Struthio camelus: one gene and its partner. The protein of the gene in region 1 interacts with the protein of each later gene in a pairwise test. Links are inferred from orthologs where the notes say so. Each region holds a gene or a part of one and is shown on either strand. Other genes may lie near its edges. The genes, in order: KIF5B and PRKAR2B.

Region 1 (7,799 bases):
GATACACACACACTAGAGTCACTGAGAGTAACTGTGAGGGAATGGAGGTTGGAGGTTTTACTTCCAGTGCAAGCTTCAATAGGAAGCACTCTAAAGAATACGTTCATATGCCGTTTTTTCAAAGGTTGTTTATGATATGGACAGGCTTGAGTAGTTTTACATGATTAAAAGTAGAGCCTTGACATGGATTTCCCTATGAAATTTCAATCCTTAGGTTAACACTGCTATAACTTGTACAATAATTTTCCTTTAGCAACAACAACAAGCAATGTATCTCTAATCTTACTCTCAAAAACCACTACGCTATTTTTGCTGCCACTGTAAAAAAAAAAATTGCTTGAGGCAAGCACACAGCAAGCAAAAATACAAGCCAGTGGTGATTTTAGCAGAGATTACAAGCAATGGAAAAAGAAATTAGAATAGCCCTTCTCCAAATAAGACTCAGAATCAATGCTTTAGAGAGTAAGCTTACAGAATTTTTGCATGCTTTTGCATAAAGTAGCCAAAATAAACATATGTTATTCCTGGAGCTTAATTTTGCTTTTAATTGGTCTAATATTGTTAGAAACAATTAAATATGGTCTTAGTAATTAGGAGTAAATTAGAGGTCAACTTCTGCATTTTATGCCTTTCTAGTAAAAAAAAAAAAATAATTACTCATACTTATGACAAGAAATTTATGTGCATCAGGAGCTGCATCCTCAATGCATGTTTCATCCTGCTAGTTCATACTAAAGCCTAAACTTGACTGGGACAGGAAACACATTCCAACATTGAATCATTTGGTGGAGCAAAAGGAAGCTTTATAATTTTATAACTGAATGAGACCTTTAGATAATCGAGTTTGACTCCAGTAGTATCTTAGGCCACTGAATTTCACCCATTCAACCTTCTGTTAATCTCAGCTTAGTTAGCTACTGAGTTCCCCAAGCTGAATTGACTGAACACGCTCAGTTTGTTTGCTGGTAAAGAGACTTTAAAATGTATTTGAATAAGCTGTCTGAAATAAAATCTTGTTACTTCTAATGAAGGCTTTTCCAGTGTCAAGCAATGACACTAGACTTCACAAATTATCTTAAGAACCTTTATTGACAGAGGGTGTTACACGTAACAAAGAATTTTGTTCCAAGTGCAGCACATCTAGCAAACTAATCACCCATTTGTCCTACAAGTCGATTTACAAATTCAGAATAAACTTGACCTAGAATGCACCTTAGATTCTGAAAAGTAGTGTGCTATATTTTTCCAGCATATTGCAAATCAAAATGAAAAGAGCACTTGTGTTTGCATCAGGAACACTGAATTTCAACAAGTACTGTCAACTGATGAATCTACCATCTCAGAATTTCATTCTTTAAGGGGCAGGAGGAAGCAGCTTTAATTTGCTTCTCTGCAAACACCTGCTTTAAAGATTTATCCAAATATGCAATATTCTTTTAAGATCAAATCAAGATTACTGTCACTCTGCCAAAACAATTTTCATGGTTAATTACATCAATATCCAGATAGAGTTTCACTGTAAGCCCCTTTGCTGAACATGCTGATCTTTTAATGCCAGGAAGATACTAGAGATCTAAAGGAACTGCAAATCATAAAAGAATTTCTAGAGGATTATTGCACAGATCATAGATGAGAAGAAACATAGCGAACTAGTAGATATAAAGTGGTTAGATAAACTACTTTTATTAAAAGACGTTGGTCTTTACTGAGAAACTTTACTATACTTGTTTATTAGATAAATTGTTTCTTTAGAAAATATATTTCACTTATGAGGCTCAAGTATCAGATGGAAAGATTCACTTTTTAATGACAACTAATATGCCATATTTTCTCACTATAACAGACTTTAAACGGTCTTTCACCCTAAATAATTGAAAAAGTATGGTATAAACAGGTAATTACATATTCCAGAAGAAGTAAAATATATTTCCAATTAAAAATGAAAGAGAATTTTTTCATCGTGACAAAATTGGAAACTTGGCAGGACATTTGGTCTCTGCCCTGCTTTTGGGAAAGCGGCACCACATCTTTAAGCACAAGTCATCAAGACTGCTGTTTGATATCCTATTTTAGAGCCAACAGAGATAACACACTGCTCTCTTTGAATATGCTGCAGCATTGTTAGACTGTAAATAGGTCACGTAAAAGAATGGTTGCTGAACATTTTGAAGAGCAGACCACAGAAGACAATCTTCATGACCGAATACCTGGAATGAATACGAGAACACGCATGTTTAGTTCAAGGGAACTCATTTAGTAAGGTTTCCCATAGCCAGTATGGGAGATACCGTCAACCACGGTCTCCCACGAGCTTGCATGGAACCAACAGCCTAGAAGCGGTCAGATCCTTCTACACAGTTCACACATCCCGGTATTTTTTTGTTACAGCATAATTAAAAAGAGCAACTACCTATTCACGAGTCTATACTGTCTCTTTGTAAAGTGTATGCTGTTTGAAACATTGAAAAGATAAGCAGGCCTAAGCATTTATTTTCTCGAGAACCATTTCATTACGAGCTTTTTTCCTTTACCGAGTTGTTCTTACTTTGAGTACTGTGTGTCAGCAAATGTAGCTAATGATATATCCCCTTCGGTTGTGGATAATGATAATGACAAGTTTCCCAAATAGACTAGGGTAAAGGATACATCACCAGCTGAAACATTCTGGGAGTAATAATCATGAAGTTGTTGATTTTGCAGCTAACATTTATTTTTCCTCACTTATTAAAGAAAACGAATTGCAAAAGTAGTAAATAGTTTATGTGCCCTTCATAAAAATAATAACCTCCTGTCACAGGAAATCTGTAAGGATCCAAACCCAGCAGCTGTACAAACATATGCCTACCCATAAGCACGTGGACAGTCCAAGAAATAGTTGAGTTAGACATATTAATATATCTTGCTGACTGGGATTTAAATTCACAAATTCTAAAATAGAATTCAACAAAAATAGGCTTTCTCACATTTTAAGGAGAACCACCATTATATTTTATTGACAATACGTTTCATTGAAACAGTTAAGCAGAACCATCATATGCTAGATGCTGTGGGGCAGCAGTGCACCTTCTGCAGGCGGAGTATACAGCCTGGCCTTATCAAACAGCTAAAGAGCGCTGGTAGGTTGGGTGGTGTAATTGTTGCTGCTCCGATCAAGGCGGCATAGTCCTGCAGCAGTTTTAACTACAGCAGAAAAATAAACTTGTTACAACATGATCTCAATTTAGAAGACTTAGAGCTTACCTCAGAACATCAAACAAGGTGCAAAAAATATTTTTTCTATGACAGTATGAAAAAAAGCTGTAGACGAAATTAGGTTATTAGGTAACTTTCCTGCCATGTGGATTAGCATGGAGAAATTTTGAAGCAACATCCGCCTTCTTTACCTATACTAAGTAAAAACACACCATTCAAAACCCTGCAGTAAGAAGGGCCTTGAAAATGGAGGCTGCTTGATTTCAGATGGTCCCTATTAAAATTCACAAACATGTACCCTTTTCTAATGAAAAAGAGAGTACTTTCAAAGGAATGACATTGCTATTCTGAGTCGTTCTGGCCTACTAAAATTTACTAATTTAAGAGGACTCCCTCATTTTTCATTAATTTCAAGGCCATTTTAAAAGTTTCCAGCACAGATGGCGATTTCTGACAGGAAGTTGACTTACTGAGCTGAGCTGTAAATCTGTACTTTGACCCGGTTTGAAAGTTCATATTATACCTAGATGTAAAGGGGTATGGCAGTAAAATCTTGAAACTCTTCTGAGAGCCTCTGATCTGAATGGCTTACCTAACAACTTTTTAAATCTAGATACCGTCAGTAAATATCCATGGATTAGCATTGCAGTTCTATTTAATCTGTATTGAATAAAACTTGTGATAAAGGAAACTTTAGAAAACTATCGTGCATATTCTTTCTTCATTGGAACGGAAAGGTAGGGAGAGACTTCTTCACGGGAAACGAACTGTAAAGGCTGTGTATCCTTGCAACGCCCTCCTAAGAACGTGACCTGCAGACTCCCTAGCCCCACAAGACCTCCATAGGTTTCCGGAAAAGGAATTAGTTCGGGGGAAATTTTGAAAATACTGACAGTTCCATTGGCAGGCTTTCTGTGCATACTCATGCTTTTTTTTTTTTTTTTTTTAATTCTGCTGAACAAAGGCAAAAAAGAGTCAAGACAGTTCGGAGGTTTCTCTCTCCAGCGCCTTAACTTCACGCCCGCTAAAGCTGGTAGGTCAGTTTTCAGGCTCGCCCTGCCTTGGAGGGCCGGCCCGGCCGCAGGCAGAGGGCTGTGTCGCGCCCCCCCCTCACAGCCACGAAGCGCCCGGCGCCGGCCGTTAGCGCGGGAACGCCGCCGCCTGCCTGAGGCGCGCGCCCCGTCCCCTCAGGGCTAACGGCCCCTGAGGGCCCCGGCCCCTCAGGGAGACGAGGTCTCCCGCCATGCGGTACCGTGGCCAACGTTAGCCCCGGCCGTGCGCCCGCAAAACGGCTCCGCTGCGTGCGTGAGGGGAGCGGGGGCGGGGGGGTGGGGGGACGCTGGCCACGGTCACGGCCACGGTCAGGCTAGGTACAGCGGGCGGGACGAAGCTCTCACACGCGCCCCTATCACACCCTTCTCCCCAGGCTCGGAGGGAGCCACGCCCCCACAAGACCACGCCCCCACAAGACCACGCCCCCCACAAGACCACGCCCCCACAAGACCACGCCCCCACAAGACCACGCCCCCTCGCGCTGGCTGCGCCTGCCCGGTGCGAGCGTTGGCACCCCCGACGCCTATCCTCCCGCCGGGTGGTCTCCCTCCCTCCTCCCCAGCGACGGCTTCGCGCCTGCGCCGTCGAGCTCCCGTCGTGGCCGGGCCCCTCGCCTGTGCCCCGCCGCGCCTGCGCGGCACCTCCGAGCCGAGGGGGCGGGGTTGGGGGGGGGGGGGTTCTGCAGAGGGTGACGTCACCGCCTCTTTGCCCTGCCGTCCGCGCCGCCTCTGCCCGGGAGGGGAGGGTCGGGACTTGCCGGCTGCAGGCGCCGCCATGGCTGCCATATTGGGGAGGAAGTGAGAGCAGGAGGCGGCCGTGGCGGCCAGGAAGGAGCCCTTCCCTTTTCCCTTCTGCTTAGGCGGACGCGGGCCTCCCGGCAGCGGCGGCAACGGCGGCTTGTGAGACCCCCGGAGCGGGCGGCGCAGAGGCAGCAGCGGGTAGCGGCGGAGCTGAGCGCCCCGGAGGCGGCGGCGTTGGCCTAAGATGGCGGACCCGGCGGAGTGTAACATCAAAGTGATGTGTCGCTTCAGGCCCCTCAACGAGTCCGAAGTGGCCCGTGGCGACAAGTACGTCGCCAAGTTTCAAGGCGAAGACACCGTCGTCATCGCGGTGAGGGGCCGCCCCGGATGGGAAAGGCGGGGGGTGGGGAGGAAGGCGCCGGGGGGAGGGGGTGTGCGGGCGGTGGGGTCACATACCGCGGGGATGGGCGCGGTGTGAGGCGAGAGGCTGGGCCGCGGCGGAGAGGGGTGGCTGTTTTGGGGTGGGGGGGAGTGGGAAGGGGAGGAGGGCAGGGCAGAGCGGTAAAGAGAACCGGCTAGGATGGAGGTGGGCATGGCGGGGCAGAGAGGAGAGCTCGGGGAGCGGTTGGAGGGGGTGCATCCCCTGGCCGTGCATGTGTGGTTGCAGGACGTTCCCGTGGTAGCAGGTCAGGAAACATGGACAAAGGCTCTAGCAAAAGGCTTGCAACTTGGGGCGTAACTGGAGTTGTCGTTGCTGAGCCCGAGCCACAGGGCAGGCTTCACTGTGGCCACGGAAGACGTGCGAGTTAGGAGCTGGAGCAACAGACGAGTCCTGCAGAGTGTCCCCTGGCTAGGCTGCGCCTGGTTTTGGCCACCGTGAAGAGTTTGGCCGCTGAATAAATAGTCGTTCAAAAAGTGTGCATTGGAACTAGCAGCGACGTAATTATCAACAGAAAGATTTTAGAAAGAAAACGCGCAGCAACGTGAGCTCTGCTTGACTGATCTGTAAATCAGTCATGGGCTGATAACTTCTTTTAAAGAAGAATGAACTGAGACTTTTTGACTTATTACATGTTTATGAATGCGTTTTAACGTAAGTCATCTAATAAGGTATGAGAGCTTTTACATAGCAATCTGAAAGTTTCAGGGGAGAAGATAGTCCTAGCCTTGCTGTTCATTGTGTCACATTTAGCTACAAAGTGGAGCTGGAACATAAAGCACAGTAGCTTATTGCCTGGTTTAGTTGGTATTCTGCAAATACGCGCTTTATTCCCAATGCTTGTGTTCTATCTCTGCTAACTTTTAATCATTCTCTAGAGACGATCCTGGTTCTGCATTGCTAAACGCAGAACTTAGAAATGTCAGTTGATTATTTTTCTTTAAATTTTGTTTTTGTTACTCTCTTTGTTAAGGTTACCAGTACTACCTCTTTCTCACAGTATCTGAACTTTGAAGAAGACATTAATAGCATCAGTTTTTTTTAAATATGTCATATTAAATACTAGTGCTTTATTCTGTTTGAATTCAACTGATTTTGCAAATACAATATGGAATTCCATCAGTTCTCAGCTGCAAGAAAACTAGAGTGCTTGTGAAATGAGGTAAATTTGGGCCTCTTTCAGCTGACAAGTTGTTAACTTGGAGTAGACCTCTTCTGACTGAGGTGGTACAGGTAAACTCCTCAGAGTAAGGAACTAAGCCTAGAAATGGAAATTAGAAATGGAAAACTAGAACAAATGATCTCACTCCATCAATGAGTATCCATTCATTGTGACACTGTATGATCTCTTTAAAATCCAGGATTAATTTCACAATTTTTTTTTTTCTGACTTTTTCATAGATGATGCATTTTCCACATCTTTTTTTTTCTTTCAGTAATTCTTGGGCTAAATTACAGCCGTTTCTAATGAAGTACACATCAAATAAGAAAAAGGAGGTGATCTGGAATGGACTTTAAAATGTTATTTCCACCCATGCGTTGCAGGTTGAATAGAATCTTCTGCATTCTCATCTGCAATAGTCTGCTTCTCACAATTAGACAGTTTAATTAGACAATTTAAAATTTTTTTAAGGCATTTACTACCAAACATTAAAACTAGAATTTCTCGTTGTTTGTGAATTGAGGAGAAAACTTTTATAGTGTTTAGATAGTCTTTAAATACTCTTTAAAATGTCTAAAATGTAAATTGGGCTGAGGTGGCACTAAATCTGTGTGGATCAATGTGATGTCATGGTCCTGAAGGAAAATGCAGGGCTCTTGCTGGGATTTGGTAGGGAGCTGGTATTTTTTATAACTTTGTCTAGTTTTAGTGTTTTCTGCATGAGGAAAAAACAAAAAATCCTTCAGTGATCTCAGGTCCAAGACTTGCTGTGTCTGACCTTGGAGAAAATACTGAAAAAAACCCATTAGATTATGGGAGCAGTGATGGTACTCGAGTCTTATTTTAATAGAGGATTGATGTTCTGGGATTCTGCTGTGTGTTTTTTTTTCGTTTTGTTTGTTTTGTTTTTAGTTGACTGAAGTTTTAAAAAGTTACCTTCCAACCTGAGGATATAGCTATCCAAACACATCTTGCCTGTGTTTTGTGGAATTGCTAAAGGGAGGACAGTAAAAGAAGCAGCTCTTCTCATGAAATGGTTTCTAAAAACATTTCTCCATAAGCTGTATGTTTGGTTGCTTTCAACTGTTTATTAGAATTTCTGTGTTTACAGCTACATGTGATATTGTCTGCCATTTGAACAGTGAGTTGAGCCTCTTTTTATTTATTATGTATATTTGCTTCCCTTGTCTGCTATTGCCCTCGAGCAGCCTGA
Region 2 (8,121 bases), on another chromosome or scaffold:
AAATCAATAAATGTGACATTTTAACGGTGTTTTAGGAGACCAGAAATTGGTAGGTATGTGATTATTCTTACTAACAGTGGTTGTTTCAAACTTGTACACTAGCCATTGCATTATCAAGAGCCCACAGAGGAAAACACTGGTACACAACTACAGAGATTTTAATGTAAATATAAAACATGAAGGGATTTTCATGTTGCCTGTCAGCAACTTTTAACCATGCAGAATGCAAAGTCCGTCTACATTTAAGCTTGCAAAAGTCAGGACAAAGATTTAAGATAAGACCAAACCATACATCTTTAAAAAAACAGGAAATACAGAGAGTAACATCTCCCACACCCAAACTTCAGTCCTTTCCCAGTACACTGCAATAGGTATAGGGCCAATTTTTGTCTTGTGTTTTCTCCAGTACAGTATGTACTTTCATTCTCATCAAGGGCAACTTTTGGGAATTGCTAGGCTGCCAACTTAGGAGAGAGGCTACTACAGCTGAAGAGATTCAGGTCCCTTATTTCTGGGCTAGCTGTGCAGTTGATCCAAGCAGATAATAATAGTTCTTCTCACCTCCAAGAAGGTAATAGAGAGTTTCTTTAAAAGCCTGTACTCCACTAGTATGCTTGTAAAAGTTACTTTCCACTCTAGAGAAAAGGCTTTATACAGTTTTACACTCACGGTGTCAAGTACACATTTCTGCCCACTATGTATTGCATGAATTGCACGCCAGAGCTTAGTCAGGGTTAATCAGAAGATGGGTCTTGGAGAAAACGTCTTTGGAAGGTTGGGAGAAAGCTATTCAGATCAGCTGGAACTTGGCAAGAGGAAGCCTTGTCGGCTGTTAGGTGGACTCAGTTTGCTCAAATGTACTAAATTTACTAAATTTAAATCTATTCTGACAAAGACAAGGCTTTAAAGTCTGTCCTCTCTTCCTTCTGCACTCTATTCATTGTCCTCTACATGCTCAGAAAAGATCTTGTTCTCTGACCTCTGAGAGAAGCGGTCCCAACCGCTGTCCAAAGCACGCTGTCTGAAATTGTCGTGTAGGAGGCATCGGGCTTCCTATTTTTCATTACGAGTTGTATTCTCTTAGTTCTTCCATACCTCAAATCACTTGAAGGGACAGACTGAGACAAAGGCTGGTAACCTGCGTGTAATGGGGAATGCATTGATGGGTAGCAGGAAAGGAGACCACAAGAGTCTTTACTTCACTTTCTTGGTTATTGTGAGAGTAATGTTGGGCCCAAGCCCTTTGCTGTACAGAAGGATTTTTGAAGTTTTTATATGCTCTTTCACTTCAAGATGACATTTTCATTTGAACTAGAATGACACACAGAAATTAGTGCAAACTAACAAAGGTGGTCAGAGAGGTGTGAACCGATCCTCTCATTACCTAACTGATTGTTCTGCTACAGTATAATACATTTTGGGGAACTGCCCTCCCTATGAGGATTTAAAAGCAATTTACATGTCAGGACAAGCTCCTTGGAACGGAAAGTTTCTAAGGTAACCAAATGACAGCAATGTGAACCACAAAGTTCACTGCCATTCTTTGAGATATTCCAAAACTCAAGATAAGTCTCACTAGATACATGCATTTTAGGCTGTTTTGAAAATTTAAAAAAAAAAAATCGTTCTTTAGAGCACCACCTATCTGGAATCTCTTATTCTAATTTTCCCAGTTTTGCATACTAACACCAAGACCACCAACAGGACAACAGTTTGCCTATTAAAACCAGGTGCTCCATCAATGGTCTAATCCTGTTGGCCAAAAGACCTCAAATGTTTACCTTTCCCCCAAAGAATAAAAAATCGTTTCAAAACAATCTGAGCATGCTTACAGATCTCAGAGCACTTTGAAATACTTCTTTTTCAAGAAAAAAATCTATTCCGGAGCAAAGGTTTTGAAGAAGGCTGGCTGCAACCTTCTGCCCAAGTAACGTGCACAGCAGAAGTTTTAGAAATCTTTCAAGAACAAGGCTTAAACTAACAATGAGAAAGAAATGCTTTGTTCCAGTAGATGTATCTAAAGAAAATTGCTTGTTTCCAGGGAATGCTAGTAGTATCTGTTCTGCATCAACTCCCTAGATAGACATGATAGACTATTCCTAGGCTCTTCCGAGAGCTGCGTCCAGGATGCTGACACAGGATGGGCCCACGTGCAACAACATTGCAGACTCCTGGAATAGCCCTTTTTATGTCCATATTGCATGCCTACGTTGCCTGGCATCTGACTCCTCTGCTGACTAGTACTGATGCAGGTTGGAAAGGAAGGCAAGAAAAGAATCGGGGCACCCAGCTGAAATATATTCATTCCTGATAAGCCCAATACACTGGCTGATGAAGGTGGGAACTACTCTATGATTTTTGCATTGCCACAAGAACAAGTAAGATTTACCACTGGCATTATGTTTGCTGACTTTCAGACAAAGTGCTTGGAGTTTGTGCGGGACAAGAACAAATAGTGTGGGGAGGAGAAGGCCTCCCTGCAGCAAGGGTAGCCCAGTGTCCAAATAAAATCATCACTGGGCTTTCCTACAAAAGCTAAGTCTGTTACTGCTAGATAGAGGAAATGACATTTTTGATCGAGGTCACAGGTTCCTCTGGATTTTCACAGGTTGCTAAAATAAAGCTAAGAACACGTGAAGAAGGACAAGTGATAACTCAAAATTTGGAGCCAAGCTCCTGATCACAGAAAGACATCACTGTAGATCATTCCCTACCCCTGTCTCCTCTTGGCTAATGAGTGTATCAGAGCTGTACTTTCCAGATCCTGATAGCTGTATCATCAAGTCCCCAGTCTTATTAAGAGATTCACTGGAGTTTAGCTCCTGCTCCTTAGACAGACTGTGGCTGCGTCCCTGAAGAGTAAAAAGTAGAGAGCAAAGCCTGGCTCTTCAGGATGTCCTCAGAGAAGCAATCTCCTTTCACTTCCACCATGCCTAGGAGGATGGGAGGCCCTAGCAAGCCAGCAAAATCCTTGATCAGAGGGTGAAGGACTCTGTGCTGCTGATAAATTCCTAGTAATAGAGAGCTCTGTCTGGCTAACGGAAAACCTCAGGGATAACTATGCGTTTAGCCCCTGAAGACTCCAGTAGATGGAGTATCACAGGCTGAAAGAACGCCTTGCAACGGCAAGGTGCCAAGTGGTTAGCTGGACCTAGTGTCAGATACTTCCCCTTCTGGAGGTTTCCTCCAAGTTGGGTATCTCTCAACCTGATCACGATCAGGTCAACGCTCTTAGTGGTGTGAGAGGGCTTTTAAGCTATGCACCCCTTAAACTTACAAGTGAGCCAATTTGGCATCTCTAGCTATAGCTAAACACCCTCTAGAATGACCAAGGTGTGCAACTGTCCGTAACATACAGGTGCCAGCTCTCCTGTGGCCCTTGATTCTTGTCCCCAGTAGCACACGTGGCTGCATGGTACCCCTGCGCTGATTTGTAAAGGCAGACGGGGCGGGCGGCATTGGCAGCCAGTAGTGGCAGGATGTTGCTCAAAGGTATTCCACAACTCCATCGCTCAGTACAGAGCAGCAATATCGCCATGCGTGAATGGATCACTCTCCCCATTCATTTGGCAGGTCTAGAACAGTTTGAAGATCCAGCTTACAAAACAAACTCCAATTTGAAATTGCTTCCACGGGGAGCAGTGCATTCCATCTGGACACTACTTCAATTAAAAATGGCTTTGAGATCCTCATTTGCATGAAAAGATTGCTATATTTTGTTGCCATGTGGCTTTCTTCAAGCTAGGTCTTTCAGTATCTCCTTGCTATTACGGACACAAATTTTGACTGCTTACCTCACCCTAAGCCCCGATGGAATACATTTCAAGGCAATTTGAGTAATCCAGAATGCTTCGTGAAATCAATTATCACAAAGCACTTTCAACCTTAGACGTTTTAGCAGTCAATTCTCTTAGTGCATGAAAATAAGACTCTAACAGAAATTTCTGAACCCTCAAAAGGTTGGCCAGATTTTGTGATCAGCAATTACGGAGCGATGCACTTTTCATGCATTTCAAGGACCTCGCCTTCAGGAAGCGTTTAGCAAAGCCTGATGGAAAAGCACAGCACCCGCAACTGCTACTCGCTTTAAAAAAACGAAGCTCACCAGAAACGACAAGCAGCACCTACCACAAGGGTCCTAGGCGCTCCGCGGCCCGAGTCGAAAGGGTTTACGCCGAGCACAGCCGTACGGCGCTCTTTACGTGCACGGTCTTTATTACAACTGTTTTCTTTTTTCCAGCTGCATTATTTATGCGTTTAGACAAGCAGCTGACCAACAGGATGCATTTCCTAACCCCTCCAATCCTAAGTTCTATATATGAACATAAATAGATGCATATACATGTATATATATGTATGTATAGGTATATGAATGGTGTGGGGAACATCTTTAGGAGGGCAGAACGGGACGCGCTACGCCTCCCTGAGAAAAGCACAATAGCAATTAAAAGCGAGCCCAGCGCGGGGCCGGGCCGGGCCGGGCCGGGCCGGGGGGTGTTTCACGGAGGGGGGCGCAGCAGGGGCGCCAAGGGCCCTCCGGCCTTGCCGAGGCGGCGCCGCCGCCGCTGGGCCCGGGCGGCGAGGCCGGGGCGGCCCTGGCCCCCTGCGGGCGCCTCCCGCCTCGGGGGGCGCCGAGGGCTCGGGCCGGGCCGGGCCGGGGCCGGGGCCGCCCGCCCTCGCTGCCTGCCGGCGGGGGCGCGGGCGCGGGCGGGGGCGGGGGCGCTGCGGGCCGCCGTTCCCGGCGGGAGGTTGTCATGGTTTCGCGGGTCACATGCGCGCGAGGTTCCCTCGGCGCGGGGAGAGGGGAGGGGGGAGGCGGCGGCGGCGGCGGCGGCGGGGACGGGGGCGGGGAGGTTTCAGTCACGGACGGGGCCGCCGCCGCCTGCTGCCGCCGCGCCGAGTGCGGGGCGAAGCGGAGCGAGACGCTGCGGCCGCCGCCGCCGCCGAGCCGCCCGCCCGCGGCTGCCAGCTGCGCCCTGCCCTCCGCCGCTGCCCCGGGCGGCCGGCCGGCCGGGCGCGCCTCCGCCTCGGCCTCGGGCTGCCGGTGCTGCCCGGCTGGCTGCGGCTCGGCGGCCTCTGCCCGCCCTTCCGCGCTCCCTCCGCCTGCCGCCCGCCGTCCCTGCCCGGGCTGCGGCCCCCGGCCGGCCCCGGCATGAGCATCTCCATCCCGGCGGGGCTGACGGAGCTGCTGCAGGGCTTCACGGTGGAGGTGCTGCGCAGGCAGCCCGCGGACCTGCTGGACTTCGCCCTCCAGTACTTCGGGCGCCTCAAGGAGGAGGCGGCGGCCGAGAAGGAGAAGGAGAAGGAGGCGAGCGGCCGCAAAGGGGACTCGCCCGCGCCGGGCCATGACCGCGCCCGGGGCAGCCTGCCGCCGCGCCGGGCCCCCGCCGACGCCCGCGGCGTCAACTTCGCCGAGGAGCCCATGCAGAGCGACTCGGAGAGCGGCGAGGAGCAGGAGGAGGCGTTCCCGGGTGAGGGGCCGGGGCCGGGGCGCGGGCGGCGGCCGGGCCGGGCCGGGCCGGGCCGGGCGGCGGGGTCTGTCCGGCCGCCGACGCTGGCAGCTCCGCGCCCCGCGCAAGGCGGCGCCGGGGCCGGCGGGGGTGTCGCCCCGGGGGCGCTCCGCTCGTCCGCCGCTGCCAGGAGGCCACCGGGGCGCCAAGGGTGTGGGGGTTGCTTTTTTTGTGGTGGTGGTGGTGGTTGTTCATTAGCCGAGCGCCGCGCTGCCGTTCCCACCTCACGAAACACCTTTCTCTTGGGCGCGTCGCTGCGTCCACGCAGCCCGGTCAAACATTTTCCGTGGCCGCAACGTGTGGTTCGTATAAATCAGCACAGCGGAATCGCAGGAAGCGAAATCTCTTAGGGAGGAACAAAAAGAAAGAAAGAAAAAGTCAGGTGGAAACTGTGCGGGATGGAGAAGGGCCTACGGCGCGGGCGTCGCGGCGAGGGCAGCCCGGCGCGCGCACGCCGCCTCCGCTCCCAGCCGAGGGCAACACCTGTCTGCCGGCAGCCGGCGGCCTTGGTGCGGCCTTGGTGTGCCTGCCCGGGTGAGCGAGCAGCACCGTGTCCATCTACCGGACCAACCCGATTTATGGGACCAGCGGGAGCTGTCCCGCACGGGTGCGTGGCACCCGGTCCTTGTGCCGCCAGCAGGCTCGCGGAGAGGTCCGTCGGTGTAAGGTGCGCCGGAGAAGAGCAAGACGGCGTCAAAGCATCTTTATCGTTAGCTTGAGCAGCTTGAAATTGAAGTATACCTCATCAGGTCATCGAAGGACTGGTCCTCCTCGGTCATGCTGAAGGTGGCTTTGCTCAGCAGAGCACAGAAGCCAGCTGTTTGCTAGATGAGTATCAGTGTCGTTTTTAAAATAATGTCTTACGTGCATTTTATCAGGAAAAAAACCCTGGATGTTTAAGAACTGGGAAAGTTTTCGGGATGCTTTGTGTTACGCTGTAATATAGTCGGCATTCCTTTCGTCTCTTCTTTGCAGCTGTAGCTGGGGGTGTATAATTAATGAGAATTTGAATCCGTCCATCAGGTTCTGCAGATGTACGTGGTGATTTTGAACTCTGACGCTATGTTGTCTATAACACCGGCAAAAATTGGGAAATTATAATAAAAAAGCCTAATATATTCTGAAAGTTTAATTATATTGTGACTCGTAATTTGTGCCGGTTGGAATAATTAATAACTGAAAGTATGAAAATGGAAATATTTTTGAAACCACATGGAAGGTGTATTAATGAGTACATTATAGTAAATTATTAATAAGTGTGTGCCTGTGCACACACACATTGCACGGGAGAGTGTATGTTAAGTGCAAGTTTTACATCTACCTTGAATATCTGTTCTTCAGAAGTAGCACAGCAATGCATCCGCTCAGCCTTTTGTTAATAAGTGGAGGCATAAAGCCTGGTCTTTAAATCATTGTTTAATGGGTTTAAATATCTATTTAAAAGTGTATTTCTTTTCTGCTTTTACTTTCTGTTTTTGTAAGTAGCAATTCTTGAATGCAAGCTGGAGGAAAAAATCTGTTTTTTTTTCTTTTTTTTTTTTGCTTTTGTCTTTGTGAGTAATCAGACTGCTTCAATATAATCAGTCTGTCCTACTGGTGTACTGTTGTCATACAAGAGAGGAAAACAAATTGCGAGAGTTTATAAGCAAAAGTAAATGAAAAAAAAAAATTCCGGCAAGGAGCTTAGACCTGTCTGCAGTACCTTTTTTGTTGAAGCAGAATTCTTGTTAAATCAACTTGACAATATTTCCTAATTTGCTTATTCAAACAGGTCCTTGTTGTTAGGGGCTTGTTGTAATTGCTATTGTCTCCAACTCCTTTTTTTTCCAGTACATGTTTCTGAATTCCTGCAAACACTGCAGCTGAACACTTTGTCCGCATTAGTTTTGTCCTTGAAATATATTTTGTAAGATACATAAGCATTATTCCATTTTAGAAATGATGAGTTGAGGTATAAGCTATGTTAAGAAATTTACCGTACTCAGGATTAAGAGTTGTATGCGAGCCAAGAATTAAACTGTGTTCGGGTCCTAGTCTGTGTCCATTACATCAGTTGCAGAAATCAAGCCACAATTAAGACCGTTACCTTGTGTGGCTTGCAGTTCTTTGCAGTATTGCTGTCGTAATTCTGAATTAGCACCTGTAGTTAATGTGACCTCTGAAGCAACATTGTTCAAGTTCAGAACATTTAGAGTATCACCTTCTGAACACACTGCTTAATTTGGAAATGATTTTGAGATCTTCTAGTTTCTTTAATATTAAGTTGTCCTACACAGGTGTATGAGTTTTAGTCAATCTGCAGGAATAACTCCTGTTAATACTAGTAGGAATTACTTAAATTGGATAGGACTTAGTTACAGTAGCGTACATAAAATTGAGCCCATTTTTAGAAAATTCCTCTAATTTTTTGAAAGTTTGAAATGTGTATAACAACGTATTATGCTGTATCTGTGCAAAACTTGAAGATGCTCACTAAGTTATTTGTCTGCTTTCAAATGCCTATACTTTTCTCCTTACATTAGCATTTAGAATTTAAGGTGTACCTTATTTTGATGGATAAAGACCCACATAATTTGTATCAGTTGTTTTAAAATATTTGCTTGTAGCTAAA

Evidence for each region.
Region 2: the proteins of KIF5B (region 1) and PRKAR2B interact in binary tests that used the Homo sapiens proteins (3 or more experiments, as listed by UniProt). The two-hybrid records come from large-scale screens. The link is inferred for Struthio camelus from reciprocal best matches to the Homo sapiens genes KIF5B and PRKAR2B.

Annotation. Positions count from the first base shown.
Region 1 is NC_090943.1:17,079,907-17,087,705, forward strand, and holds the start of KIF5B (kinesin-1 heavy chain), read left to right. Parts: upstream 1-4,742; 5' UTR 4,743-5,229; coding exon 5,230-5,355; intron 5,356-5,503; exon of another isoform or gene 5,504-5,565; coding exon of another isoform or gene 5,566-5,571; exon of another isoform or gene 5,572-6,066; coding exon of another isoform or gene 6,067-6,078; intron 6,079-7,799. UniProt on the Homo sapiens protein: Microtubule-dependent motor required for normal distribution of mitochondria and lysosomes. Can induce formation of neurite-like membrane protrusions in non-neuronal cells in a ZFYVE27-dependent manner.
Region 2 is NC_090942.1:16,002,921-16,011,041, forward strand, and holds the start of PRKAR2B (cAMP-dependent protein kinase type II-beta regulatory subunit), read left to right. Parts: upstream 1-5,083; 5' UTR 5,084-5,152; coding exon 5,153-5,471; intron 5,472-8,121. UniProt on the Homo sapiens protein: Regulatory subunit of the cAMP-dependent protein kinases involved in cAMP signaling in cells. Type II regulatory chains mediate membrane association by binding to anchoring proteins, including the MAP2 kinase.